Arabidopsis thaliana: one gene and its partner. The protein of the gene in region 1 interacts with the protein of each later gene in a pairwise test. Each region holds a gene or a part of one and is shown in the gene's direction. Other genes may lie near its edges. The genes, in order: MAD1 and SUF4.

What was found.
Region 2: the proteins of MAD1 (region 1) and SUF4 interact in a two-hybrid assay, tested with the Arabidopsis thaliana proteins (one study listed by BioGRID).

What each region holds. Positions count from the first base shown.
Region 1 is NC_003076.8:20,274,513-20,291,283, forward strand, and holds MAD1 (mitotic checkpoint family protein), read left to right. Parts: upstream 1-7,598; 5' UTR 7,599-7,792; coding exon 7,793-7,987; intron 7,988-8,063; coding exon 8,064-8,163; intron 8,164-8,263; coding exon 8,264-8,424; intron 8,425-8,508; coding exon 8,509-8,706; intron 8,707-8,803; coding exon 8,804-8,896; intron 8,897-9,001; coding exon 9,002-9,118; intron 9,119-9,700; coding exon 9,701-9,948; intron 9,949-10,297; coding exon 10,298-10,469; intron 10,470-11,165; coding exon 11,166-11,276; intron 11,277-11,360; coding exon 11,361-11,564; intron 11,565-11,818; coding exon 11,819-11,981; intron 11,982-12,268; coding exon 12,269-12,359; intron 12,360-12,455; coding exon 12,456-12,525; intron 12,526-12,838; coding exon 12,839-12,967; intron 12,968-13,050; coding exon 13,051-13,089; intron 13,090-13,173; coding exon 13,174-13,263; 3' UTR 13,264-13,572; downstream 13,573-16,771. Other genes in the region: CLC-C (chloride channel C), read right to left, coding at 13,977-14,066, 14,143-15,274, 15,397-15,666, 15,978-16,240, 16,352-16,529, 16,726-16,771. UniProt on the Arabidopsis thaliana protein: Required for the execution of the mitotic checkpoint which monitors the process of kinetochore-spindle attachment and delays the onset of anaphase when this process is not complete.
Region 2 is NC_003070.9:11,034,558-11,048,976, reverse strand, and holds SUF4 (zinc finger (C2H2 type) family protein), read left to right. Parts: upstream 1-5,203; 5' UTR 5,204-5,383; coding exon 5,384-5,577; coding exon of another isoform or gene 5,578-5,581; intron 5,582-6,028; coding exon 6,029-6,129; intron 6,130-6,364; coding exon 6,365-6,494; intron 6,495-6,960; coding exon 6,961-7,370; intron 7,371-7,463; coding exon 7,464-7,606; intron 7,607-7,719; coding exon 7,720-7,917; 3' UTR 7,918-8,292; coding exon of another isoform or gene 8,293-8,364; 3' UTR 8,365-8,702; downstream 8,703-14,419. Other genes in the region: AT1G30974 (Plant thionin family protein), read right to left, coding at 1,707-1,946; AT1G30972 (Plant thionin family protein), read right to left, coding at 4,067-4,306; AT1G30960 (GTP-binding family protein), read left to right, coding at 9,000-9,518, 9,715-9,804, 9,912-10,057, 10,391-10,549, 10,644-10,818, 10,912-11,051, 11,138-11,222; UFO (F-box family protein), read right to left, coding at 11,469-12,797. UniProt on the Arabidopsis thaliana protein: Sequence-specific DNA binding factor that recognizes the 5'-CCAAATTTTAAGTTT-3' sequence. Recruits the FRI-C complex to the FLC promoter. Required for FRI-mediated FLC activation, but has no effect on the expression of MAF1, MAF2, MAF3, MAF5, UFC and CO.

The sequences.
Region 1 (16,771 bases):
ATTTATATAGATTTAAAAGATCCGAGAATATTTAACGATCAAAATTAAAACAGTGTGACCAAAAACTCCTGCAAAAATATATATGTATATTTGTAAAAGACGTCACAAGTAATCGTGATTTAAAACAAGGGAAATAACTTATATACAAAGTCTTCCCGGAAATATCGTTTTCAGAATTTTAAAATTCGATTCAGAATTTTTTTTAAATGGTAGACATTATGCAAATAATGGAAGCTTACTTGCATTTAATTAAGTTAGTCTTTTTTGTCAACGCTTGCATTTATGCCTCACGGCGTTCGTTAAAGAATACTCCAGCATATGCAATTAGACAATTAGCAGCTTCTCATCTATTAGTTTTTTGGACATCTTCATATCTAGGGTATACAATACATCAGGCGCATCCATTGCATTTACTGTGGAAAAAAAAATGAGAGAAATTAATGCCCTTTCGAGTACAATTAGTTTAGTGGGGGAATTTGGAAACATTTTATGGATAAATAAAATATTATGATATAGATGAAATACTTATTTGTGGGTTTGAATGGTTACGACGGTTGAGGCGGACAAAACCGTCTACGGATTAGACCGCTTTTTATTTACCATTCATCAATTATAGTCCGAAGTGGTCCGGACCAAAAAAAATAGAAGAAAACCGCAGCGGACCATCTGTGGACTGTTTTGACATACAAATAAACTTGGTCCGCAACGGTTTATTGTCTGTCCAAAAAATGAGATGGACTAAACCGCAGACAAATTAGACCGATTTGTCCGCTGCCTCCATTCATAGCCTGTGTGCAGTAGAAGAATAATGATTAGAGTAAGGACAATTTGGGTATTTTTAAGATTAAATGACAAGTGCAATCAGCATTATTAGTGTTAATTGGTTTTATTTGCTACGTACCTGCAAATAATTATTAGTACACAGAGTTATAGTTGTGTGCCAGAAAAGGAATTTTCAAATAATTATACAAGTATTTTTCGAATATTTGAATCTCGAAGGAACCATAAATACTCTAATAATCTTGATTGTTTGTTTATCAAATAAAGCATAGGACATCATTTATGCTTGTTTTCTACCATTATAACCTAGATGCTAGAGTTGCTCTAGCTAGATGTCTTACTTTTTCATGACTAATTATGTAATAGGATAATGTTTTCTTCACCATTCCCTTTTCCTTTGTAATTATCTCGTGTCTATGTTTCTAGCCTCAACCACAAAGTATCTCTATGTCTTCTCTCATCTTATTCTACTATATATTGTATTTGAATTGTAACAATCAAGTGTAAGTAATGACCGACTCTTATTCCACATCATAGTCTTAATCCTTCTTTTGTTCCGTTTATCTCTTTCTCCATTTTGTTGGAGTCTTTTTTGAGCCTTCTCTTACTCTTATCATGCTTATAAATCCTACACATCCTAGCAGTTAGTTCACAAATTATTTTGATTCTACAACTTCCAATTTTACTCCAGGTGAGGACGCGCGATAAGAAAAATGGAAAATAAATAGGGATAGCTTTTTCTTTGTGTGCAACCAAGCCGGATAGTTAAAAGCCTTTACGGAACTTCCTCCAAGCAACTGCCAAGGCAAGTCCCAGTTTTTAATCATATATTGCTTATAACTATTGAAGAACCAAAATAATGTTAATTACATGCCTTACACTTACCCAAAGTTTTTAATATGAATAGAATATACACCCAAAAAATATAGAGTTGTAAACTTGTGATCCTCAAACTTAATTACAAACCAAAACACAGTATGGGAAAATGGAAAGAAAGTTGGTCAGATCTTGATTAAAGAAATCGATTGACTTAGTTAAAGCATGATGTATCTACCTCTGGAGTTATGCTTCATATTTTACTCATGACATGACTTCTCAAAATAGACTAAATAATTAGCCAACTTATTATAAAAGGACCATGTTTGTTTGAGCGACAAGCGCATGTTGTTCGTTTGCCTATTGCAAGCGACTACATACTGTCTTTGACGAACATGGCAAGATAAGAATCATTTTAATAAAACTTTAAGTGGACATATCAATTACTAAATGAATTTGATTAAGCAAAGATAAAATGGACATAAAAATACCAAGTGAAATGGATTTACCTAAAAATATGAGGACAATGTTGACGTAACATGTTTTTTATTTTTTTTGGTGGAATGGACCTTTGGCTACTCACAAACACCTATTTCAAGTACTATTGTCTTCTAATGTGGAGGATTGACTATTATCGTCCTCTAATGTGGAGGATTTGCTTGCAATGAGTGCAAAGTCGAATCCCCAACCATGAACTAGATACTTTATGTCTTCTGGTTTTAACGTAAAAGACATGAGAAGAGAAGACATACATACATGTACCTTACGTGATGAAGTTAATTAGGGAGTTGGATTATGTGCCGAAAGCAGTACGCATATCCCGCGATTGCATGATTCATAGTCTCCAGAAATTGATTAATACTATTTATTAAGGGCACCACGTCGACTATAAATTTAGCTCACATTGTTTTTTGATGGGGGTATGACTTAATTTCAGCGTAACTGATAGGGAGTTAGAAGATGTTTCCCAATAATAATAAAGCCCTGTTCGTTTCTCCATTTGACAGATCCATCCAACTAATCCATTCAACATGTTCATCTAGATGATTTATTCGACTCTTTTTCTTTTCATTTTTAGTAGGTTCCTTTAACTGGACCATCCGAATGACATGTTGTTCGTTTGCTTATCTCTATCTCCATTCAAATAATTTGTAATAATACAAATACCTAAAATACCAATGCTTTCATCTAATTATATTTTTATTATTACTTGTAAACATATTAATTTTAATTCTTAATCTAAAAAAAATTTAAAAGTAAATAAATTTTAAATGATAGTTTTTTACATTTATAAATTTATTTTACGGTTTTTGCGGGAAAACGTAATTTTACAGTTTTCACGGGAAAACTCGATTTTACGATTTTGGCGGAAAACAGAATTTTACGGTTTTGGCGGAAAACAGAATTTTACGTTTTTGGCGGAAAAACGTAATTTTACGTTTTACGTTTTTGGCAGAAAAATGTAATTTTACGTTTTTGGCGAGAAAACATGATTTTATGATTTTGGCGGGGGAAAATGATTTTACAGTTTTGGTGGAAAAACATGATTTTTGCGGTTTTGGCGGGAAAACGTGTTTTTACGGTTTTGGCGGGAAACGAAATTTTACAGTTTTGGCGGGAAAAAAACGATTTTGCGGTTTTGGCGGGAAAACGTTTTCTTACGGTTTTAGCGGGAAAACGGAATTTTACGGTTTTATCGGAAAATTTTGATTTTGCGGTTTTAGCGGAAATTTTTTTTTTATTTTTTTAAAAAATAATTGGAAAATAAGATTTAAGTCTATTTGTTTTTATCTAAAAAATACATCTAAATAATCAATTAAAATAATTAGGGTATTTTTGTCATTTGTTAATTTTGACTGAATCATCTACATCCAAATGATCCAATTAAGTTCAGCCAAATGAGTTTCAAAATTTAGCCTAAATTTTCAAACTCATCCAAATGATTCATTTGGATGGATCATCTGAATGAACCGTTTTTTGCACTAAACGAACATCAAAACTCATCTCCATCGAGATGATCCATCTGACTGATGAAACAAACAGAGCCTTAATAATAAAAAAACTGATTTAGGAAAACCCGTGAAATTGAGCTTTGCCTCCCATGTGGCAACCAAGGAGAGAATGATACGTTCTTATGGAGAGAGAAAGAGGCGATTTCTTTCTACTTTTTTGGGATGACGTGGCTAATTCTGAAGAGTTAATGACCTATTGAGAGTTTTTTTAAAAAGTTGATGTAGATAGCTTGAGAGTGCTCAAAATAACTTAGTAGTACACAATAAGTAGTAGTAAACAATTAGTAGTGTTGATGTGGATAGTAGTAGACAATTAGTCTTAGACCCAATTAGTAGTGTTGATGTGTATAGTAGTAGCCAATTATTAGTCTTAGGCCGAGAAAACCCATATCAAGCTGCAGAACTATGAGGATTACAAGTAGATCACCGAACTAATCCATGGCCGAAAAAGAAATGCTTCAATGTAGTAATAATCTTATATTCTTATTACAGAACTAGATTTTAACCCGCGGTACACCGCGGAGACAATTTATATTTTAAAGTTAGTATATATAAAAAAATTTAAATTGTATCTATCTATAAAATATTTTTATTTTATAATTTACAATTGTTATTAAGTAACGTCCTTCCAAACCCGTCTCGCCAAACCCGTCCCGTAAAAAAACTATTATTTTATTAATGTTAATCTTATTTATGATATGTTTATGAATCATTGTCTAAATATTTTAGTCGATGTGGGACGTTCAAATTCACACATTTTTTGCCAATTGGTTAATATATGTTTATTTTTAAAATTTTGAATCACAAAATATGACGGAAAGAATTGAGATTTTTTTAAACTCTATATATTATATAAAGATGTTAAAATTTATGATATATTAAACTTTTTATAATTTTAAATATTAATAATGTTTTATAAATTTTTAATATTTAAATAATAATATTTATTTTTTTTATATTTTGAACCTTTTAGGTAATGACATAATAACTCTAAAAGCAAGGATTTAGAAGATTTAAATTTTTAATTAAATATTTTCATTCCTAAATAATTAATGTCAGTGTCATGAGATTGTAAATAAGTTCAAATACATGATTTATATATTTAAACAAAAAATATTTAGTAAGAATAATATTTTTTTTAACAAAAAACTTTGTTTTAAAATATTGTTAACAAATATGTTTATGCTAATTTTAAGGGATTGACTTAAAGTTTGTTTGGATTAAATTTGATTGATAATGTGGTTGACAATTTCAATCAAGAATTTAAAATAAAATTAATTATTTTGGAAAAAAGATTTAATGCTAATGGCATTGAGTTGTAAATAAGTCCAAATCCAGGATTTATTTATTAAAATGGCTGAAAAAAATGTATATATAGATAATAGAGGTTTCCACTTTTGCTATGAAGAGGACTAGAAGAAATGCTCATCGATACCAGAAAATTGAGAAATTGGCCAAGAAAATCACAAACTTTTAAAATTAGCCAAAAAAATGTTCAAACTTTTCCATTAGAATTTTAAAAATACCAAAAAATTTAAGAAGCAGCCAAATAATGCTTACGATTTTATGACATTAACAATGTTTAAATAAAAAAGAGTTTTAGTTCTATGAATATGATACAATGGTTCTTACAAATTGATTACAAGAGCTTACATATTATAACATAATAATTTAAATTATTAACAATTAAAGATTTTTTATTTTAATTGAATAACACTACACTTTTAATGACTTTATAAGAGTACTAGATTTTAATATACCGCGAGATGATTTATTTTTTAAAAGTAATATATATTAAAACTTGCAAATTTTATTTTTATAAAATATTTATATTTTTACAGTTTATAATTATTATTAAGTATTTATATATATTATTTTTTTATTAAAAATAATAAATCAAAGATTTAACCTGTATTGAAACGGTGGATTAATTATATTTTACTTTTTATTAATGTTGATTCAAAAACCCGTTCCTCCAAATCCGTCTTGCCAAAAAGCCATTTATTTTATTAATATTGATTTTATTTATGATATAAGTCTGAATTATAATCTAAACATTTTAGCTAATAACATAGGAGTGCACCATATTTATTTAATAGGGGAATGTACCATATGACCCGAATGCACTTTTACCCAAATCCACCAAAAAAGTCTTGCAAAACTACTATAGACCCGAATGTACCATATTTTTTTGTGCTAATTTTTATGTGATTAAGATTTAATTGATTTCGTATATAAAATATTAAATTGTTTTACGAACTTATTTGTTTATAATTTGGTAACAGATAGATAATTGAATATTCAGTATATTTTGCTTCAGTTTAGGAAATCTTTAATGACCCGTCTTTAAATCCAATAAGCCCTATAATTAAGAGATGAATATTGTCGTTAAATGATTTTGGTAATCTTAATGATGTCATTAAAAGATTTTGTTTTTGATTAAATTTTTCTAATGGCATTGTCATGTAATTAATTACAAAAATTAAGGTTACATTTAAAATGTACTTCCCAAATAATATAGTAGGACGATATGCACTTTTATCCAAATCCACCAAAAAAGTCTTGCAAATATACTATAGAGATAAGAAACGATAGTCGGTTTTGATAGGTATATGATTAGCAAATATATTAGTTCGCTTAAATTAGTTAAAGAATACAAATTGAAAAGGTATATTACACTTTATTCGAATATAGTATCAAAACTTATATAGAGATTTGATAAATTTTTAATTGTTGAATACTTTTTTTTTGTGCTAATTTTATGTGATTAAGATTTAGTTGATTTCGTATATAAAATATTAAATTGTTTTACGAACTTATTTGTTTATAATTTGGTAACAGATAGATATTTGAATATTCAGTATATTTTGCTTCAGTTTAGGAAATCTTTGATGAGTTGTCTTTAGATCCAATAAGCCCTGTAATCTAGATATTAACTTGCAGTATACCGCAGGTAGGCTTATATTTTAGTTCAACTAAAAACTTTTATTGTAAAGATGATTTAAAAATATATGATATTATTTTATTTGATTTTAAATGTATAGTAAACTGTGAGTTGTATATATTTTTTGATATTATCTATATTGTTTAGTGTTTAAGATTATACACTTGTAGTTTGATTGTTAATTTAAGAGTTTCACCTGTAGTATACCATCTTGTATTAATATCGATCTAATCCCGTCAATTCTAGGATTTTCCAGCTTGTATTAAAAATTGAATCACATCTAATATGTTATTAATTATTGTAGTATATAAGATTATAAATTTTCAATATAATATGTATGAAATTGAATATAAATATTTCAAATTATGACATGTTACTCAGTAGAAAGTTTTCTTAAATCTATTTTTCACCCGTTATAATATTTTTTCATGTATTGAACAGTTTATATTCGTTTTTAAAAATTCAAATTATGGCATATGCGAAAAAACTCTAATTATTTTTCTATAATGATGATATTATTTTTCGGCAAAAATAGAATCATATAAAGATGAGAAGTAAACTATAATAATTAATAAAAAATTAATATGATAATTTAGATATCAAATCTAATTTGTTGATTTTAATTGGTTACTTTTTTGGGAATTAATAATGTATTTTGTTTTTCTAATTAAATTAAATTAATTAAAATTTAGATATCAAATCTTATATGTTGATTTTGATTGGTTATTATTTTTGGAAATTAATAATGTATTTCGTTTTTAATTAAATTTAATTAATTAAATTAGTATTTGACTTTTTAATCCTCAAAGAGATAAATTAATTTACTCTTTAAAATTTTATTTCTAATGACATACCTATGTAATTACTTACAAAAATTAAAGTTATATTTAAAATGTACTTCCCAAATAATATAGTAGGATGAATCTAATAACCCAAAATTTATAAAGATTTAAATTATAATCAACAGTTTGATCATCTTGTTCATACAAAATTTCGTATAAGACATTAATTAACAAAGCAAAAAATCATATATCAAAATAGACACATATTAACAAAGGATTAATAATTTAATAGTTGTGAAAAGCCTTTCCAGTTTCTTCCACGGCCTAGCTCCTCCGTCTTTACGCTCTCTCATCAAACTCGAGAAAAAAAAGTGGCGCCTCTGCAATTTCAATTTTCAAATCCTAATAATTTTTCTCTCGCTTCCCGGAGAACGGAACCCTAATTTCTCGACGCAGACATGATTTTGAGAACTCCGCAGCCGAAGAGGCTCAGGTCCGACGCCGGAGAAAGCCCCTTCCCCACCGGCGCTACTGGTTCCGGCAATCAGCTAATCATCTACGAAGATTCTCCTCTTCCTGCTCCTGCTCCGCTACAAACTTCTCATGATCATTCGGCGGATCAACATCTTTGCACCTATCAATGCCGCCAAATGGTCACTACTTATACCTATCTATCTATATCCCCTCACGAAGATTAGCGAATCTGAGGTTTGTTCTTGTTGTTGTTAGGTTAAAGCTGATGTTCTAGATGCCTTGAGCACAGCAGAGAAACAAGTTGAGGAATCTAAAACCAAATTACAGACTCTTAATGCCAACTTCACCGAAGCAGGTGAGAGATCGTTTGTGAATTCGAAATTACAAAGGTCTTGATTCCGAATGTCTCTGCTTTAACTGTTGTTAACGAATTTGATTTTGATATTCTACAACAGATGCTGAAAGAAAGCATTTTCGAGATAAATTCTTATACTCAGAGCAAGAGCTTGCTGCTGCTAAAGCGCGTGAGAAAATGCTTCAGGAGCAGCTTCTTATGGAGATCAACAATTCTCAAGAGCGGTATACCAAAGAACTACAATCTTGCCATGAACTGGAGGTTGATCTAACTATTAAATTGACTTGAAATTTCTCGTTTTACTTGGTGTCATTGGTGCCAGTATCATTAACTGAATCCTTATAGGTAAAACTTCAAAATGAAATGAACCTTCGAAAGAAAGCGGAGTCTTCTGCTGCAACAGCTGAGGAAAAAGCTAAACTTTTGGAGGATAAACTAACTCAGCTATCTGGAAGTGTGGACAGGGAGAAGAAACGTCTCAACAATGATATTGCTCAACTGGGTAAAGAAGCAAAGCTTTCTGTGGCTAGGATTGGTGCAGATGTAAGTATCGATTAAGAAACTTGATAGCTTGACTGAAGTTTTGTTTTTGGTTTCTCATGCAATTATCGTATTTGCACCTGTTTTCCTTTGCTTTTAGCTTGAAAGGATGCAATGTAGGGCACAAAATGCTGAGACGGAATCAAATCTTTTAAGATCACAACTGGAGCATCTTAAACTGATATTTGACGAGGTAAGCTATGTTTGACGTGCATCTTAGATAATAATAACACCAGTCATAAGTCATCATTTGCTTTGGTAATTTATTTTGCTTTCTCATATGATTCTTTTTATGCAGTGTTTGCAAGAAAAGACTGAAGTAGACAAGAAGCTATCGTCATTCACTTCGGAGGCAGCATCTTCTTCAGATAACAGTGTATTGGTTAAACATCTTCAGGAAGAACTTAAACGCTATGTAAGTTTTACCAGTTCTTAGTCTACCCGAGTAATGATTTTACAAAGTTGTTACATAAGATGAATCATTTATTGAAAATGAGTATGAAAGTGGTCAGGACATTGATCATAACTCTCTGTTTTATTCACCAATAGAAGCTGTACTCGTTCTTGATTACCATGAGAAACTTTGCATTACATACCCAGAATCAATGATTTCTATTTTCTGTTGATTACTCTCATAAGCAGCAAATCACGGAGAGAGATTATGCAAGTTTTTAAACACTTGAAATTTACTCAAAACACTCGTTAAATTTTTTTTCTTAAAATGGTCGTCTTATTTACTTAGGCTATCTAAGACAATTCATAAGTAAAAGAGTTTACTTTTCAAGAAAAGTGAGGTAATATAGAATGATGTATTTTTCATGTAACACTAGTTATGCAAGTCAAATTTTAATTTGATCGTAAATTCGACTCACATACTTTTCATCATTTGAAGACATGTACTATTTGTAGATTCTATTTTCGACTTCTATACTTTCCATGTAATATCTATTTAGTTTTTGTTTTTCTTGTCGATTTTGATTCTTGATAATTGTATCAGGAAGCTGAAGTGCGAGAAGCTAGAAAGTTAAAATCACGGCATTTAGATGCGGAGTTGTTGAATGTGAACTTATTAGAAGAACAAAGCCGTAGGGAGAGGGCAGAGTCAGAGTTATCAAAATTTCATGACTTGCAGCTAAGCATGGAAAAGTTGGAGAATGAATTGTCCTCTTGGAAGTCATTGCTAAATGACATTCCTGGTGTGTCCTGTCCTGATGACATAGTTATGAGATTCTCGGTGCTACAGAAGTATGTCAACATGATCTATACAGAATTTATCTTTTCACTAGAGTCTTCTTCTGATATTGTTTCAAATAATTATGCCTGCCATGAAATATTCTGTGCGGAGAGACTGAGGTAGTTGTTACGGGGCATTTTCCTGACTTTATAGGTGAACTAGATAGTATTTATCAGAGACATCTGTAACACCACTTTGTCCAGATATGGCTTTATATTTTACAGATATTCTGGCTTGCTAGTCTAGCAGGTCTAATGTGTCTGTGAGCATCTAGAGTATTGATTTCTAGTTTACCAAGCACTCTGAGTTAACACATGTATCTATGATACTTCCTAGTGACTTGTGTTTCTGCCTTTGAAGTGAGGTGGTTCAAAGCACTATGAAGATTGGGGAAGCAAGTACCCGTATTAAACAACTGGAGGAGACACTGGAGGCTATACAACTTGGCAGACAGAATGCTGTAAGTGAGGCTGCATTAGCGAAAGAGAAATCTGAGGCTCTCAAAACAGACGTGAAGAGAATTGAAGTAATGGTAAGTTTGAAAATTGTTGCTGGTGCTCTGTAAGGGGTCACAAATGCACTTTTATTTTGCTGGCATCAATTAAAGCCTCTTAAGTTGATTTTTGATTCTCGAGAGATAAAGGATAGCATTTTCAATTGGTGACACTCAAATGCTCATCATTTTATATTCATTATTCTTGTTTATTGATTGTTTGCTTGGTTTCTCTAGGTTCACTGTCTTTGCTTGGATATATACTAGCTCAGCTCTGTATTTCATGTTGATTGTTGATCTATGCATTCATAAGAAGCTGATAGAAGTAATATAGTTAGAGACGATATTCATAGGATAATATCCCTAGTATTTTTGGATGTTCACGTTGGGTTTGTTATCAATTAGTACAGATTTAATATCTCTATATATGTGGGGAAAGTCTGTTTGTTCCTAATGAGTGTATTCAATTGTTAGATTTTGGTGCAAATTCCTTCGTATCCAAACATGAGTCTATCACGAATTTATGATGAGTTGATTTATCCATAATATAGTGTCCTTTCAGGATAAGAGATAATGTGTGTAGTATAGAATTTGTTGCAAACAACTTTTTATTTAATCATGAATCTATCACAATTCAAGGGAATTAAGTTTATAGTGTCTCATTGGAGGTAACTTTTTATAATTTTCTATCAGTTTGTTGCACTATTACTAACAGAGCTTTAATTTGTAATAAAGCTCACTTTGGTCACGGAGGAGAAAGAACAGTTGAAAGCTGTTGTTAATGAATTAAGGAAGTCAAACAGTGAAGGATCTGTGTCTGGAGCCGCAGATGGAGCCCTTATTCAGGTTCTAGAATAACACAGTTCTTATTTTGAAGATTTTCCTTCTTTTTTGTTGGAAGCATAAAGCTTATTTTGCTTATATATACAGGGGTTTGAATCTTCTCTTGCAAAGAAGGAGAACTATATTAAGGATTTAGAGCAGGATCTAAATCAACTGAAGGATGTCAATAATCGTCAACGTACTGAAATAGAACTTCTAAATGAGAAACTAGTTGATGAAGCAAGGAGGAATAAGTCGCTGGAAAGGGATAGTGATCGTCTTCGCTCTGAGATCTCTTTACTGGAGTCAAAGGTACAGATGCTAGAGATGTGTGCTTGTAAAAAAGATTGCCAAAGAAAATATTTGCTTATGGAACTTTCATCTGCCATGGTCGAAATGAATAATAAAAGTTTTTAAGGGTGAATGGCGAATTTTATGTCCTGCATCTTATGTTTTTCTTAGGTTTCATGGAAGATTTTATTATTGTAAAAGCGAATAGAAATGCTATTTAGGACCTCTAACTTCTACCCTAGAGTTTGATCTGAACAGTAACATATATTTGGCAGCTGGGTCATGGTGATTATTCTGCCGCAAATACAAGGGTTTTGCGCATGGTGAATACTCTTGGTGTTGAAAACGAGGCAAAACAAACAATAGAGGCTTTACAAGCTGAGTTACAGAAGACAAAAGAAAGACTTCAAGCTGTTGAAGAATTAAAGAGCCAGTCTGGTAAATTTCTGATTGTCGACCTTTCCTGTTTTTGATACTGAGTTTGCTACAAGTCTACCATTCAATTTTACTCTCACCACAAAATTCACTGGAGAAGCATACCTTAATTTCTCTGTGACCCTATTCTCTACATCATATTCTATGTTTCCGAGAATAAAAGGGAGGGCCAAAATCTTTCTGTTGATCTGCCTCCGGAGGACTTGAGAAGAAATATTGTAGTGTTTCAAAAATGTTATTCTTATTTACTAAATATGCTTTACTGTAAATTCTTTTTCATGAATATTCAGGAGATGCTGGGAAGCTAGTTGACTCTCATATAACTGGAAAGATTGCTCAACTAAAAGAGCAAAATGCTACGCTTGAAAAACGTGAAGAGAGGTTTGTTACTGATAAATGTTTAACATGTCCTTTGTGCAAATATGACCTTGATTTCCCATACTAAAACATATGTGGAGCCTATGAATTATGAAACAGGTACAAAACTGTTTTTGCTGATAGAATTTCCGTGTTTAGAAGGGCTTGTTGTGAGCTTTTTGGTTATAAGGTATGCCACTTGCTCATAATTATGTCGTAGCACTCAAATTTTATTCTTTAGCATTACAATGGTTCCCTGAAGGCAATGATTCTGGATATTTCAGTTTTCTGAATGTTGACTATCACATTGTAAAATGTAATGTTCGTACTTTTGTCCATTTTTTACGGTCTATGAACTGCGCGTTTCTGTTGCAAAGAGGGATTCAGCTATTGCTATCTATAGTTTTCCTTACCTTCCGTTATTCGTGTAGATAGATGATCAAAGAGTCTTATTCATCTACAGAACTTGTAAACTTGTGAATTCCTTTTGAAAACTCTGGCAGATTGTAATGGACGAACATCAGCGTCCCAATGGAATCCCAGTGACTCGGTTTACTCTCCAGTCTATATATGCTCAAAGTGATGATGAAAAACTCGAGTTTGAATACGAGTCAGGAAACACCAGTATTCTAGTAAGTGATTCTTGTAAATTGTATAACTTTGATATGCTGCATTTGAATCAGTTAATCAACTGATACTGATTTAATTCCTTCAGAACAATGAGTATGCCTCTCAGGGCGACATAGCGAAGCAGGTAAAGTACAGACATAGTTTTCTTCCTTCATAAGCGCAGTGTTCTCAGTGAAGTGTAAAAACTCATTCTGTGTGTTTCTTGCAGATAGAAATATTCATCAGGAAATTCAACTCGATTCCAGCTTTTACAGCCAACTTAACGATGGAATCATTCAACCGTCGGACGCTATATTGAGAGCACTGCGTCCTTATTTCCAACTCTGTGTTTTGTATATTTCTAAAGCCTGCTGAATAGAAACTGAAACTCGAAAGCCGCAGCTTAAAACACTGGCCTTATCTATGTCTACCTCTGGTTCGTTATGTCTGCTATAATTGTGGTGTCAGTAACTCTATTTTGGTATGAAAGAAACTAGTTTCGATTTACTCAGAAAGAATATCTAATGTCATTCTCTGATTATGCGTTTATTACTTTATAGTCACCAAAAACAGTAACACTTGAATATCAAGCAAACAGATTTTTATATAACCATGAATTTAAAACACAAATAATACACAGACTACCTACATGTAAAGAAGATTAGAGCAAAATTGATATCGACTTATAATATAATTACATGTTTAGTTTTTATTTATTGTTTTGAATAAATGTTGTGAAAACCAAAACCCAAAAAAAAAAAACTTGTATCACCTCATTACACAATCATCCTTCCCCTGCTTTTCCATAATCAATCTCAACGAATAATTGAAATAAATGCCTAAGTGACATTGGTCATCTGGGCTTTTAATTTTTTGATATTCACATATTATTACATTGTAGATCTTTAGAGAACTCTCACGTACTTGTTTCTCCATTCTTTATTACCTGCAAGAACAAGTGCCAATTGGATTTAGAAAACAATTAGAGCAACCAAATGCAGGCAACAACGAAGACTAAACGGCTAACCTTATTCACTTGAGGGGATCAATGTGAGGGTAGAGTCCCAGGACATGTTCCGGCATGAAATCATGCCTTGTCAGTATTCCAACAATAGGCGGTCTCTGCAATACGAAAACATACGCGTTAGAAACATAAACAAGTCTAGCGAGAGGAAGAGAGAGCGAGAAAGAGACTGACCCCTGGTGTTTTAGGCACCACACACAAGTGGCGAAGACCAAGTTGCCGGAAAAGAATAGCCGCCTTAGCTAGAGACAGAGTCTCAAGCACAGTGTAAGGAGATGTGTTAGTGATGGGATGGAGATCAACATACATCTCCATCTCCTCCTCACTTAGATCCAAATCTTCAATCTTGAGCCCCTTACCTAACCCTGCTTTACCAAAGTCACGGGCTTTGCAACTTCTCAGAATTTGTGAACCAAAAGTTGTTCTCTGCTTCGAGAATTTCTTCCCTTGGAGAAGCACAAGGAGATGAGATCTCAAGGCAATCCCACATAGCTCAGAAGCTTCTGTGAAAGGTGGCTCATCAATTACAGGGAAACCATTATGTCTTGTCATTTTTAAAGCCTGCCATATTACCCCAACCTTTTCAACTCTCGAAAAGGATATCAAAGCTCCAGAAACTACGTCCTTTGCAACCAAATTGCGCATGTACGGCTCTGCATGGTCTTCCATGTAAGGCAGTCCTTTCATTGTTACAATCTGGTCATAGACCCCCCTGTTGAAACAATCTGCAACCGTTTTTGATATAAGGAGTACAAGCATCACCAGTGGCAGCATTAGGAGATTATTTGTAAGTTCGAGCAGTATAACACATAGAGAGACCGTCATTCTCATTGTGCCTCCAAGGAAGGAAGCAGCTCCGAGCAGAGAAAACAGACCTACATCAAGCTGAGATACTGGACCCAGCAGTCTACCCACTAGTCGTCCATAAGAGGCTCCAGCAAGAATGACAGGAATGAAAAGCCCAGAGGGTATGGCTATGCCGTATGTTATGATGCCAAGGCAGTACACTGCGACAAAGAAGATGGCAAGGGTAGAGATATGGAATTCATTTTCAGATCTGGATGTGAAAAGATTACGGATTGCATCATCATTGGTGTTGAGAAGTAGGGAGGAAAGGTCATTGTAATGGTTTGGAGGACACTGGAAACTCTTATAGATGCTGGATCGACCTACACTAGGGCACTTTCCCTCCTCTATGCCAATAGGACATGGAGTACACTGTGAAAGCCATGGGAGACCAAATGCGCAACACGAGCTCAAAATGGAAACTGCCATTACAAGCATAATTTTAAATCTCGGACCTTTCCTGCAAGTTATGGAAAGAACAAATTAAGAAAATCGAAAAGAGGCAAAGAAATGATATTATGAAAGAGTAACTCGTTGGAAAATGACTTTATGAAAGAGTTAACTTGTTGAGAAATGACGTACTCGTTTATAATGCTATATGTGCGGAGGACTTTGTCCACAAGGTAGTTGTAAAGGCTTCCAAGCACACCACCAATAACTCCAAGGAATACTATTGCTAGCAAATCTGGAGTGCTATATAGCACTGGTCCCGAGTTTACATCAAACATGATGAGACCTCCTTTCCCAAACAGTCCACATCTCCCAGAGCGACAGAACTCAATCAAACTTCGTAAGACCACTGCTACAACTGCGGTAGTGAAGAATGTCCTCCAGAGAAGGGCATTCCTCCACCTAACGATATTAAAAAAGTGAGACATAATCTTTTCCAAATGGATATAGCAATATACGCAAACCGTCTAAACTCTACACTATGTATCACTTAGATTTCCTCGCTCACTAACTTCCATTTGCATAAAGAAGTCATGTTGGATACATTATGTTTTCAACTAGACAAACATGGTGACCTTCTTGCACTTTTGCATTAAGACTTCTAGCTGGGGAGAAGCTTCCCCTTTCAGAGTCTGTCTACTACAATGACTAGACTTGCATAAGGTATCACTCCTTGGATTAGTTATAAGGAGTTAGAGAGAAACAGAAAATACCATGAAGCAGCTTCTTCAAGGGCGAAAAGCACTCCTCCAACTGGAGCACGGAAGGCAGCTGCTACACCAGCAGCAGCCCCGCAAGTGATCAGGTCTCTTCTGTCTCTATCGTTTTTGAAGAATCTGAGCCACTTCCAAGTCAACCGGTACTTTTTGGAACCACCTTGTCCAAGTAAATTAGCAATGCAAGCACCAGTATGAACCATAGGCCCTTCTTTTCCAACTACAAATCCGGCAGCAACTCCAAATATAGAGCCAAAGATCTACCAATACGAAATATTTCGTATCAGAAAAGGCCACAGAGATGAACAAAGACATCAATGCTAAATTCAGGATGAACAAAGACTGCTTGGAAAGTTGTTTGGGGATCTTACCTTAACAAAGAGGGTGCTTGGAGCTAATATTGAATAAGCATCTATACCATTGAGATATGCTTTAACCTCAGGTATGCCAGATCCTGCCGCCGCAGGAGCAATAAAAGCACAGAGTGAAGCAGCAGCAGTTGCCAAAATTAAGTTACAACCAGCAAATGCAAAAAATGCCTGGAAATATCTGCAGTATTTGAGAAACATCCGATGTCATTTATCATTCTGATCCACACATATATCCCTGTGAGCCTTAATTCTCATAACAGTATTAACCATTAAGAAATTTAGATATAATCAGTGAATAAACAGTAACTGAAACAGGATAGAAAGTGCTAAAAAATGGCGTAGAAGCAGAGATAAACAACAAAAGCTAGACTTACTTTTCCTTGAGCATGAGATTACCGATGAGCAAGAGTTTAAATCCAG
Region 2 (14,419 bases), on another chromosome or scaffold:
GAAGTTTGAACTTCTTTCTACTTCTCTTTCAAATCTCTCCATCTCTTTCTCTTCCTCTTTTTCTTCTTCTTTGGTTTCTTCGTTTCATTTTTTTTTTCTTTTTTTCTTAAAACTAAACCATAGAAACTAAACCGAAACCAACTGCTGTGGGGTTTGGTTGATCCCATTAAGGGTATTTTGGTCTAAAAACCATTTAAAAGACAAATGGTGAAAACCACATCTCACTTTGCCAAATCAGGAGAGCAATTTTTTTTTTAGCCACTTCTGTGAAAATTTCTTTAAAAATTATAGTGTGAAATAGTTAAACTAAGTCCTTCTTTTTTTTTTTTGGTTTAATGTTAAACTAACTAAGTCCTTCTTGCGACATCATAAGTTTAATATAGAGGTGTCGAATTAAACTTAGGATGTCTCCCTTTAGATGCAGCAACATCTACAAAACAAGATACTCAACGAACTGGCAAGCACTATTGCACTAATTATCTCCGTCTCCAGTCAATGGCATGATCAAGTCGATCGAGAGCTTTATTGCTCGTTATGTTTTCCAAGCTACATTATACACAATCTGGTGCGAACGAAATGGCAGAAGGCATGGAGAGAGAGAGGCCGAACCAGCCGCTCTTCTAATAAAATTGATTGATAAGCAAGCCATCTTTCCTCAATCAGAGCAACTGATGATCTACGCTATGACAAGAGCCTCCAAATCTGGTTTGCATCGAGTGGTTGAAATCAAACCATCTATAGTTCATGTGTTTAACCTTTAATCAAAACAAACATTGCACAAGTTGTAGAAAAATGTAAAAGCTTCGGATTTAAGCACATAGAAACGGCAAAACAAGTGAGAGCCAATTTTGCTTCAATAGGAGAAACGTAGTAGTGGCAGTTTTATCTTAAATGTATAAATTGAAACAAAGTGTTTTTCTCTTGAAGCTGAAACATAGCTGGTTCACTTTTGTCTCATGTAAATATGGTCATATATATGGATTTTGCTTTATCCACAAGGTATCACACTTTGAAATAACTAAAGTCAAAAATATGAATCAAGAAAATCAATAAGCCGCTACATGTCACTTCCAAAATTATAAAATATGAGATTCGAATCTAAGAGGAGTCTTAAACTGTTAAACAGAGACGTGTTTACAGTCAAGAGAAATTTATAACATGGGACAAATTTTATTTTATTTTATTTAATAGCGTTACAAACTTACAATGATCATATTACATAAGGAGGATACAGAAGTAGAAGAAGAGCTAGTTTAAAACTCCCAAGAGTCCAACACTGATTCATGACTTCATCGTCTCTTCTATGTCTGCGCTTCCACTATACAAATCAGAACCATCGATTATTTTAACCTTTAGTTTTTCCAAATAATCTCTTGAGTTTAATTTGAAAAATAATATTTTCAAGACTATATGTATACCTAAACAGTGACAATGATGTTTCTAAGATTTAAAACACTTTATTACCGAAATATATCTCAAAATTTCACTCTTTCAAAACGTTATGTTGCTATTTTATTTTTCACCACATTTTCGAACATTAGCATACCGTTTAATCATTTGAACACTCCATTGTTAATCTATTATTATTATTACACTAGTCAAACTTACTTCAAATTTATTGATACAAAGGGGAATATATTTTATATAGTTAGTAAAATTCTCAATAATCATTAAAATAGATTTTCTTTGACATATTTCCAAAATTGTTAGATTTTTATTTTTTTTTTACCTTCTGAAAAATGGTGACCTAATGTACGACGAGGTTTGCCGGGACATCGACGGTAACAATTCTGAAGGCACTTGATCGGAATTATTCCTGTGGTGGCACAATCTGTAATGCAATCTTCATGGCATTGAGCTCTCGTCTCTCCATTGACATTTTCCATTGCTATTACCATTGTCACCACAAACACCATTATGATCATTGAATTCCATTTAGCACCCATATCTTTAACTTTTTTGTTGTTGCAAGTGTTTCATGTACTTAAGAAATAATGAATAGCTATCCTCTATTTATAATCTTTTCTAATAGTTATCTAATTCTTAGCTCTTATCGTCTCTTCTTCTTATTTGTTATAGGAATTGCTCTTCTTTTTTTTCTGGTCAAAGTTTCTTTGTAATAGAGACTAGTTACTTTTTTTGGTTACTCTTCTTCTGTTTTTTTCTCTATTTATAATATTTTCTAATAATTAAGTAATTCCTAACTCTTATCGTCTTTCTTCTTATGTGTTATAGGGATTCCTTTTTCTGGTCAAAGTTTCTTTGTAATAGAGATTAGTTATTTTGTTGGTTAATCTTCTTCTGTTTTTTCACACAGTATGTCTATTTTAAGTTAATTATGTCAGAAGTGGGGTTTGAACCCACGCCCTCTTACGAGGACCAGAACTTGACTCTAGCGCCTTAGACTAGTTACAATGGTTTGTTGTAAACCATTTTACAACTGGTGAAAAAACAAATTCCACTATAATGGTATTTTGTAATTGAAAAGTAGCTGATGTGGCAAATTTAGTGTTGATAAATTTTAACATCCGTGAAAGTAGAAGGGAGAAGATAAGTGTGACAAGTGTTATATTTTGATTGGTTGCTTTGATTTCTAATATTTTTGTTTCATCTTAATTATATAACTTCAATTATTTCATAATATTTATATATATTTATATATATATAATTTATATAAAATTTTATAAATTTTCATTCTCTATAAACAGAGACTATTTTCATTTGATTTAAATACAGAAAAAACCATTTTTAGACCCAAAAATAATGTATAGGTTAAAATATGAAATAAAAATGGTGGGGTAAGGTGTTGTAATTTTATTAAACAAAACTATTGTAAGATTAAAAATTATGTAGGTGTTGAATAATGATGTGGAAGAGAGAGAAAATAATGTGGAGTGTTAAAAGTGAAAAAGTGGGTGTTATAAATAGGTAATCATTGTAGATAGTCTTAGACTACTCGGCCATCCTAACGAGGACCAGAAGTGGAATAATATGATTATGTAACTTACTAAACATTTTGGAAAAATATACAATTAAGCAAGAGTTTTGGGTTCTTTACGAAATATTACACAAGAAAGTACCTTTTCTTATAAACACAAGAGAGTAACCATTAGCTAAAATGTACAATTAAACAAACATTGCACAAGTTGTAGAAAAATGTAAAAGCTTCGGATTTAAGCACAGAGAAACGGCAAAACAAGTGAGAGCCAATTTTGCTTCAATAGGAGAAACGTAGTAGTGGCAGTTTTATTTTAAATGTATAAATTGAAACAAAGTGTTTTTCTCTTGAAGCTGAACATAGATGGTTTCACTTTTGTCTCATGTAAATATGGTCATATGGATTTTGCTTTATCCACAAGGTATCACACTTTGAAATAACTAAAATAAAAAATATGAATCAAGAAAATCAATAAGCCGCTACATGTCACTTCCAAAATTATGAAATATGAGATTCGAATCTAAGAGGAGTCTTAAACTGTTAAACAGAGACGTGTTTACAGTCAAGAGAAATTTATAACATGGGACAAATTTTATTTTATTTTATTTAATAGCGTTACAAATTTACAATGATCATATTACATAAGGAGGATACAAAAGTAGAAGAAGAGCTAGTTTAAAAGTCCCAAGAGTCCAACACTGATTCATGACTCATCGTCTCTTCTATTTCTGCGCTTCCACTATACAAATTAGAACCATCGATTATTTTAACCTTTAGTTTTTCCAAATAATCTCTTGAGTTTAATTTAAAAAATAATATTTTCAGGACTATATGTATACCTAAACAGTGACAATGATGTTTCTAAGATTTAAAACACTTTATTACCGAAATATATCTCAAAATTTTACTATTTCAAAACGTTATGTTGCTATTTTATTTTTCACCACATTTTCGAAACATTAGCATACCGTTCAATCATTTGAACATTCCATTGTTAATCTATTATTATTATTACACTAGTCAAACTTACTTCAAATTTATTTATACAAAGGGGAATATATTTTATATAGTTAGTAAAAATCTCAATAATCATTAAAATAGATTTTCTTTGACATATTTCCAAAATTGTTAGATTGTTTGTTTGTTTTTACCTTCTGAAAAATGGTTACCTAATGTACGACGAGGTTTGCCGGGACATCGACGGTAACAATTCTGAAGGCACGTGATCGGAATTCTTCCTGTGGTGGCACAACCTAGAATGCAATCTTCATGGCATTGAGCTTTCGTCTCTCCATTGACATTTTCCATTGCTATAACCATTGTCACCACAAACACCATTATAATCATTGAATTCCATTTAGCACCCATATCTTTAACTTTTTTGTTGTTGCAAGTGTTTCATGTACTTAAGAAATAATGAATAGCTATCCTCTATTTATAATCTTTTCTAATAGTTATCTAATTCTTAGCTCTTATCGTCTCTTCTTCTTATTTGTTATAGGAATTGCTCTTCTTTTTTTTTCCTGGTCAAAGTTTCTTTGTAATAGAGACTAGTTACTTTTTTGGTTAATCTTCTTCTGTTTTTTTCTCTATTTATAATCTTTTCTAATAGTTATGTAATTCTTAGCTCTTATAGTCTCTTCTTCTTATCTGTTACATGGATTCCTTTTTTCTGGTCAAAGTTTCTTTGTAAGAGAGATTACTTACTTTGTTGGTTAATCTTCTTCTGTTTTCTCACAGTTTATTTTAAGTTAATTTGAGATTAAGTTAATTTGAGATTTCATTGGACAAAGAAAATTAACTCTTGAAAGAATAAAAAATTATGTCAGAAGTGGGGTTTGAACCCACACCCTCTTACGAGGACCAAAACTTGAGTCTAAGGCCTTAGAGCATCCACATTGGTCACTTATATGTAGATGTCTTTAAATATAAAACTATAAATAATAATAATAAAAAAATTATGAATGTTTTTAGTTTGAGATTTGTGTTTCTGTAGAGACACTTTAAACACAACAAAAGTGAAATGTCTTTAATTTTATTATTTATTTATACTAAAAACATCTATAAAAAGTTGTCTAATGAGGTTGCTCTTAGACCACTTGACCATCCTAACGGATAACATAACCAATACTAATAGTATCATTATATAACTTACTAAGCATTTTGGAAAAATATATAATTAAACAAGAGTTATGGGTTCTTTACGAAATATTACACAAGAAAGTACCTTTTCTTATAAATACAAGATAGTAACCATTAGATAAAGTAAAAATAAATAAAAAACAGAGAATCTGAAGATCGTAGAAGAAATCGAGAAAACGCTTTGTACCAATTAGAAACCCTAGCGAGCGGAGGAAGGAGACAAAGAACGAGACTTTTGAGAGATTGGAGATTTCAATTTTGAGATCAAATCTTGAAATCAACAAATAGGAGAAAGATTTAGTGATGGGTAAGAAGAAGAAGAGAGCTACAGAGAAGGTGTGGTGTTATTACTGCGATAGAGAGTTTGATGATGAGAAGATTCTTGTGCAGCATCAGAAAGCTAAGCACTTTAAGTGTCATGTCTGTCATAAGAAGCTTTCTACAGCTAGTGGCATGGTGATTCATGTTCTTCAGGTTCATAAAGAGAATGTTACAAAGTATGTGCCTTTTCTTTTTACCCTTTCCCTATGGCTCTTTTTGTTGTGTTAGGTTGATTTGGAATATTAGGGTTGTTGCCTCTATGATCTTTGTTCAAGTTCTGATTTTTTTTTTGCTCTTGTTGTGTGTGATTGTCGTTTGATTTCTGTTAGATTGCGCTAATTGTGACTGTTGTGTTGTGGTTTGAATCGGTTGATTGTGTATGTTTGCTGGAATTTGAATCGTTTTTTTGGATTATCTCTTGAATGGGTTTGGTTAATTTGTATATGTCTGGTCATAAACCCTAATTTCTGATTGCAATTTTTGTAAAGAAACAGTCTTTTGCTTTTGCTTTTGCTTGATAGGTTTTTCTTGGAATTTGTGGTACTGTTCAATGTGTTTGCCTGTTGAATTTGGAATTTGATTCCATGACACTACTAACTTTGAAATTATCTACAATTTTCACACCAGAGTTCCTAATGCTAAAGACGGTCGAGATTCAACTGATATTGAAATATATGGAATGCAAGGAATTCCACCCCATGTCTTGACTGCTCATTATGGAGAAGAAGGTATGCATTTGAGATAGTGAGAGTACTGTTTAGATTATGAGCAATTGATTTAGAGAAGTAAGGCGATAAATTTGTATGTCTCTTCATCAAGTGTTGTAGATCTATTGCATCTAGTGGTCATGAATTCGTTTTGATTTTGCATGCGGCTTTTTGCCTTATCAAAGTTATTATATATTATTGTTATGTTTGCTTGTTTCATATGGTACCTTTTGAACTGAAGTCATGTTTTCTGCAGAGGATGAGCCTCCAGCCAAAGTTGCAAAAGTTGAGATTCCTTCTGCCCCTCTTGGTGGTGTAGTTCCTAGACCATATGGAATGGTATATCCGCCTCAACAAGTACCTGGTGCTGTACCTGCACGACCAATGTATGTACTAATTATACTATACTCTCTCTATGGCCGTTACTTGTTGAATTCTTAGATGTTGTCTCTGTTTTTAAAAATCCGATCCATGCTAAATGATGGGGAACTTTTTTTCTTTTAGTTCTCTTGATGCAAAAGGTTCTTGGTTTCTTTAGTTTGTCTCTGTCCTAGAACTTTTCTACTTTTGTTCTTCTATAAGACCACTATAACACCCGTAGTAAACATTTTTTGAAATAGATCGTTATCTAAGATATTGTTGCACTTAACCAACTATGACCCATAAGGTTCTTAGTTTCCCTAGCTTGTTCTCGTGATTTTTCAGGATAGAACTTTGTCCTAGAACCATTCTTTTGCTCCTCTTCAAGACCACAATAACACCTGTAGTAAACAGTTTTTTGAAATAGTTCATGATCTTAGATATTGTAATATGTATGGCTATTGACCATGATAAAATATTTCGTGTTAGCAGGTATTATCCGGGTCCTCCTATGCGTCATCCTGCTCCTGTATGGCAAATGCCACCTCCTCGTCCGCAACAATGGTATCCTCAAAATCCAGCTCTTTCTGTACCTCCAGCTGCCCATTTAGGGTATCGACCACAACCACTTTTTCCTGTTCAAAATATGGGGATGACTCCAACTCCAACCTCAGCTCCTGCCATACAACCATCACCAGTCACTGGAGTAACTCCTCCTGGAATTCCTACATCATCACCTGCAATGCCAGTTCCTCAACCTCTGTTCCCTGTTGTGAATAACAGCATTCCTTCTCAAGCTCCACCATTTTCTGCTCCTCTGCCTGTTGGTGGGGCTCAGCAACCATCTCATGCAGATGCTTTAGGATCAGCAGATGCTTATCCGCCTAACAATTCTATTCCAGGTTCAATCCCAAGTTCGTAGAATCATTGACTTACATTTGGTTTAGCTGTTTTGTATCAAATTGTAATATCTTTTTCATGTTTTGTTGCCGTAGGTGGGACTAATGCTCATTCTTATGCCTCTGGCCCAAACACTAGCGGTCCTTCAATTGGTCCACCTCCTGTAATTGCAAACAAAGCTCCTAGCAATCAGCCTAATGAGGTCTATCTTGTATGGGATGATGAAGCGATGTCTATGGTTAGTTTATTCCTAATTTCTTATGCATCATGTTGGAATGGTTACAATTGGAAAAGTTTCGAGTAATGAACCATTTGGTTTTCCAATCTGACGCAATGTGTCTGTATCTGCAGGAGGAAAGAAGAATGTCCTTACCAAAATACAAAGTGCACGATGAAACCAGCCAGGTAAGTTCTGATTTACCCTTTTTAAAGTTAAGAAGAGTTTGCTTTTGCAAGTCTAACCCATTCGGTAGGCTTTATTTATACATTTCTGTTCCAGATCCTATTGTTTCTGTGCTAAGAGGTACCACCGTATTATTCAGTTTATAATTTCTTCCCTTAGAATATGATAAGAAGGACTTAGGCAAGAAACTTGAGCATTTTGAATCAATGTTCGAAAGGTATCATTTGTAGCTTGCAATAGTAGGTAGTGAGAAACATAGCGTTTGTATCTGTTTGTTTTTCATTATATTTCCTGTCTATTGTATTGTATTAAAAATGTGGTGATTGGTTCCACAAGATCATACTCTACAGGTTTGGTTTCAAACCCAGGTCAGCTCTTTTTATATTCTTAACTCTGCAAAGTTTGGTACCTTTGCACAATCTCACTGCCTTGGGGAACCAAAACAATACGCACTTAACTCTTTCAAAATAAAGCATCCAACTTCTTAACTCAACACCAAGTTTGTTTCTTTTGGTTTGCAGATGAACTCGATAAATGCAGCGATAGACAGACGAATCTCAGAGAGTAGGCTTGCTGGGCGGATGGCGTTTTAGAATTTGGCACCAAACCAAACCAGCGTCAAAGAAAAGGCGATATGGATGAAGGCTTTGTTACAACAACAAGTCTTCACTCACTTTTGTTCAGATACTGAATTTATGATCTGATTTTAAGTTATTAACTTTCCATCTGTTGTATTCTTTAGCCAGGTGAGTTAGTTTACCATTACATTGTTTAGGGATCTCAGAGATGTTTTTTCTCAGAAGTTTAGTCCTTTTTTTTTTTGGTCGTTGGAGACTTGGAGGAAGAACTTTGTCTCCTTTTCTTCTGAATTGATCAAAGTATTATATTATACAGATTCACCCAAAATGTTTGCACCATGTTGTTCAATATTTTGCCAAAACAAAATTGACTAATATTCCTTCCATTAACTGTATATTCAAACTCCAATTGATACGATTAGTATGAATTTTTGTTGTATTGCTACTTTGCTAGTAGTAATTATATCGAATACAAAGTTAGGGACTACGTTGGATTTGTCAAAAAGTGAGGGGCCTATCTGTAATATTGAGTTACTTTGTCACCACTTCCCCAAAACATCAAAACCTCTAAAACCCTCGGAAGCCTCTTCTGTTACATTTCGTTCAAATCTGTACTTCTCCGAGATCGCTACTTCGCCATTGTTACAAAAATGAAAGCTTTTAGATCTCTACGTATACTAATTTCCATCTCACGAACGACGACGAAGACAACACCTCGTAATCCCCATCAAGCACAAAACTTTCTCCGCCGATTTTACTCAGCGCAGCCGAATCTAGACGAACCCACTTCCATCAATGAAGACGGATCAAGCAGCGACTCTGTTTTCGATAGTAGTCAATACCCAATCGACGATTCCAATGTAGATTCCGTGAAGAAGCCCAAGGAAGCAACTTGGGATAAAGGGTACAGAGAAAGAGTAAACAAAGCCTTCTTTGGAAACTTGACAGAGAAAGGTAAAGTGAAAGTTGCAGAAGAAGAGAGTTCTGAAGATGATGAGGATAGTGTTGATAGGTCAAGGATTCTCGCTAAGGCTCTCTTAGAGGCTGCGTTAGAGTCACCAGATGAAGAACTTGGTGAAGGTGAAGTTAGAGAAGAAGATCAGAAGTCGCTTAATGTCGGCATCATCGGTCCACCTAATGCAGGAAAATCTTCGCTGACTAATTTCATGGTTGGCTCATTTCCTTAATTTCACATTCCTGTGATTTGGTCTCTGAGAATCAATTGAGACATTGTGTATATGTTTATGTAGTGCTGCTATGACTCTTGATTAGTCCTAAAGTTGCAATTTTTGAAGTGATTGTGTATCTTTGTTTATTGCATCTTGATGAGAGTTATGCTTAGTGTTTCGTTATGTCCAAGTGTAGGTTGGAACAAAGGTTGCTGCTGCTTCACGGAAGACTAACACGACGACACATGAAGTGTTAGGAGTATTGACAAAAGGAGATACACAAGTCGTAAGTTTTCTCTTATATATCTGTTGCATATGTAAACTACTCGTTATGGTTAGTTGTGGAGATCAGCCATTCGTAGATTGAATTTTTGATATTTGTGAACCTTGCAGTGTTTCTTCGATACTCCGGGTCTGATGCTGAAGAAAAGCGGATATGGTTACAAAGACATCAAGGCTCGTGTGCAAAATGCTTGGACTTCTGTTGACCTGTTTGATGTCCTCATTGTTATGTTTGATGTCCATAGGCATCTCATGAGGTTAGTCGTTTACTAGTTTTTGTACTTTGTTAGCTTTACATAAGTTATCTCGGAACTGAGAGTAGTATGGTTATGAGCATCATCATCAAGTGGGGTATCTTAGGGTGGGATTATTATTTCTAGCTTCTCTGTTTCGATATCTTTCATATCTTGTTCATCTCTCCGAGATTATCCATAAGCTTGAGAACCGTAAACCGATGGGAAGACACATCTATTTCTTTCTTTTGAAGAAGGCATCATGACTGTGGTTTTTCATTAATTACAAGTAGAAATAGAGTTCTCTTAGACTTATTTTGTAGTTTGTGAATTCTGTTTTCTCTTTGATTTATCTAGTCCCGATTCAAGAGTGGTACGCTTGATCAAATACATGGGAGAAGAAGAAAATCCGAAACAAAAGCGCGTTTTATGTATGAACAAAGTTGATCTGGTTGAGAAGAAAAAGGATCTATTAAAGGTTGCTGAGGAGTTCCAAGATCTTCCGGCATATGAAAGGTGGATATATATATACCAGACTCAGTTTAAAAACAATTACCGGGGAAGTCTTCGAATTGATTGAAATGTGCTTTTTCCCTGTTTGGTTTTCTAGATACTTCATGATATCGGGACTTAAGGGATCAGGAGTGAAAGATCTTTCCCAATACTTAATGGATCAGGCTGTTAAAAAACCATGGGAAGAAGATGCATTCACGATGAGTGAAGAAGTCTTGAAGAACATTTCTCTTGAAGTTGTTAGGGAGAGATTACTAGACCATGTCCATCAGGTAATAATACAACCTCTACTAGTATAACATTTTGTATCAGTTTCCGTCTATTCCAAGATGACAAATTACAGGATTGATTGAAACAAATTGTAGGAAATACCATATGGTCTGGAGCACCGTCTAGTGGACTGGAAAGAGCTGCGTGACGGGTCTCTTAGAATTGAACAGCATCTCATCACTCCTAAACTTAGCCAACGCAAGATTCTTGTAGGCAAGGGCGGTTGCAAGATCGGGTAAGAGCATACAAGATCGTTCATAATTCATTCTTTTGACTAATCAATGACTCAAGGATGATCTTATGTTGATGCTAATTTTGCAGGAGGATAGGAATTGAGGCCAATGAAGAACTCAGGAGAATAATGAACCGCAAAGTTCATCTCATTCTCCAGGTTAAGCTCAAGTGAAACCATTCTCCCAAGGGTTATGTTTTTGAGTTTGATGGATTTAGGATTGGATTGTACGCAATTAGAAATCTGTCTGTATATGTTGTTGACATGTTGTCAAAGATTAGACATTTGACATTAGAAATATAAACTTACTACATACAGACAGTAATAAGATAAAAGAAACAGAATTTTGAGAAAACAACAAGCAGTCTTAACGTCAGAAGTGGAAACCACAAGTAGTCTCTTTATCTTAAAGTCTAAAAACTAACAGACTCCAGGAAATGGAAGTGTTAACTGATCAAGAAGACTAACCACCGGTGTAGTAAGCACCGGGTCATAAGCAAAACCCTGCAAGACCTCTCCGTCTGAACCGCCACCTGAGCTACCGCCACCACTGCCGGAGTAAGGACACGGTGGGACCCACAGCCAGCTTTTTCTCACTATATCAAACAGCAACTGCAACGAGGTTCCTCTTAACACAATCATTACAAACTCTTGATTTCCGACACACTCGAATCCTTTTCCACCTTCTTCTGCTGCAAACTGTGTGTAGAGCGGCTGAGGCATCCGTTCGATCTCGACCCATGTGGCGTTATCTTGTTGCAAACTCCAAAGTCGTAGGCTTTTGGGAACGTTCAACTTGCTTTTCTCAACAGCTGCTACAAGAATAAGCCTCCCTTTGCTCTCTAACAAGCTTGGAGATCTGAGAAATCTCCTCATCGGAGCTTGAATCTTGATCCACCGGTTTCCAGTAACTTCATAGGACAAAACGCTAAAAGGGCTATAGTTCATACAGTAAAACTTGCCTTGCACGTAAACCATCTTACCAGATTCCAAGCTACAAAGCCGTGGCAAAGAAGAAGTCATCGCCCAGAGGGAAAAGAATCCGCCGGCGTCGACATGGAAACTCTCCGATGAGAGGTTTTTCACAGCGTAAGGAGATATGAGATCATCTCCAGCGACAGTAACATCAATAGAGGTTGGTGTTACCGAGAGACCTATCGAAGGGAAAAGCCTTGGCCTTGATATTGGTGGCAACTGACTCACGGATCCGACAAGAGGGTTACACAAGAGAATGGTTTTAAGACCAGCTTCTTCGGAGACCCAACTCACTAACCCTCCTGATGATCCTGAAGGATAAAACCCTGAAGGGATATAAGCAAAAGAGAGACGGTACCATCGGATCTCATTAGGATCAAACAAAAAGCCTTCAGCTTTATTGGAATCATCATCGTTTGTTCCTCCTCTCTTGTAAATGTAACTCTTTAGGGTTTTGTGTTTGAAGAAGAGGAAACAGTTGTGTCGGAGAGGAAGTAGTTGTAGATATGTCTCGAGGAAGGTGTTGGAGAAAAGTAGACTGTAGAATCTCTTGCAGACGCAACGTGTCCGGAAAAACGCCGGAGGTGGAAGAAAAGCAATGACGCGGTCAAGAAGAGGAGGTGGTAGCTTGCTCCAAATCCGACCGTCCATCCATTGACCGGAGCTTGAGTCTGTGGTGGTGCTCGTTGTTGTGCTACTGTTGCTGCTACTGGTAAATGTGTAAGAGAAAGGTAAGGTTAAAGATGGGTTATTGATGAACACAGTTGAATCCATTTTAGCTGAAAAATGAAAAGATTTGGTGAAAGTGGATTTAGAGTTTATTTTCTTGTGTTGGGAATATGTGAAGGGCTTTTGAGGAGGGTTTTGGTGAAAGTTATGCAAAACCCATTGTAGGAAAAGAGGCAAAGATCATATGTAAAAGTTTTGAAGAAAGAGACAAAAGTGTTTGGTCTTTCTCTGTGAGCTTCTTGCATGGGTTTTTGATATGTTCTTGACTTCAATAGAGTAAGGTGGCATATACTTATATATAAAGAACATTTGGTATAAAACAAACAAAGGTAATGGATTTATACAAATAGAAAACATATATTATATTGAATAGAAAAAGAAATAGTGTTTCTTTATTGTTAAAAAGGTATAGTAGTAAGTAAGTAGTGACACACCAACCAAAAAAAAAATAACTCAGAAATTTATGTTTATTTTCTATCAACGTAAAAGATTATATATGTTAATGTTTTAGTTGATAGCTTAGCTTACAGACGTTTTTCTATTTGTGTGCTGACAAAAAGAGATTGGAAGTAAAAAATCAGTTGATATATGTTGTTATTTTCTAAACAGAAATAATAAAATACGTCTAAAAAACTAAACCGGTCAAGTGGCCAAGACAAGAGAAATAGGTTTAATTCCAAATAATCTAAATTTCACAAGAAAATTGGATATATATTTTTAATATTAAAGTGTGTTTCGAATATATATAACGGATGTACTTTGTTATCATACGAACCTAGAACATCAACAAGCACAAGTATCCAAAAGCCTTGTTATAACCCCAGTTTGGTGATAATTATTGACTAACAAAATTTTGTTTGTATATGTGTGTGTTTGGGTAAACGTGAAAATGGTGGCAGAGGAAGTGATGGTCTTAAAGTTGAGAGCTTCAGAGTTATCTTGTCAATGCCCAGCATCGAAATTATTAATTTGGAGACTACTCCAATACTTTTCACACTTGATCACATCTTCAAATCTTTTTTCTTTCTTTCTTTTTCCTCTCTAATTTGTAATATACAACTTTTATTACATGCACGCTTCTCAACTTCTATAATGGTCAGTCAAATTGTACTCGTGGAGATCAACCCAAGAAAACTAGAGATTATTAAGATCATTTTTTTACTTATATATTATATCAAGCCAATTAGAATTACTTTATATGTTAATATATATGTGTGTTTTATTCTAAATAAATTAGTTGGTTCTCTAATGTCATAGAAGTGCATTTATTCTAAATAATTTTGTTGGAGGAGACCACATTATCTTATTCGAACTCAACACAAAATTTGACAATATCTACTTTTTTAGTTTCTAATTATTTGATGTTTTGAGTTATTTTTACTTGTTCGACCAAAATTAATGTTTTATAAAAATATTGTTATTATTTTTGCTTGTGACTAATAATAAAAAAAGAAAAATAAAATTACTAAACTAACAAAAAAATAATTTTATAAAAATAGAAAACATATTTTTTATTAATTTCTATCTAAAATCCAAAACATCAAATAAAGAGGAACATAGTGAGTATGGTTTTAAAAGACTCCAACAATAAAACTTCCATCTAGGAAGAAAAACTGATAACATGTATAACACACAAGAATGTTATTTCTAAACATGAGAAATAGATA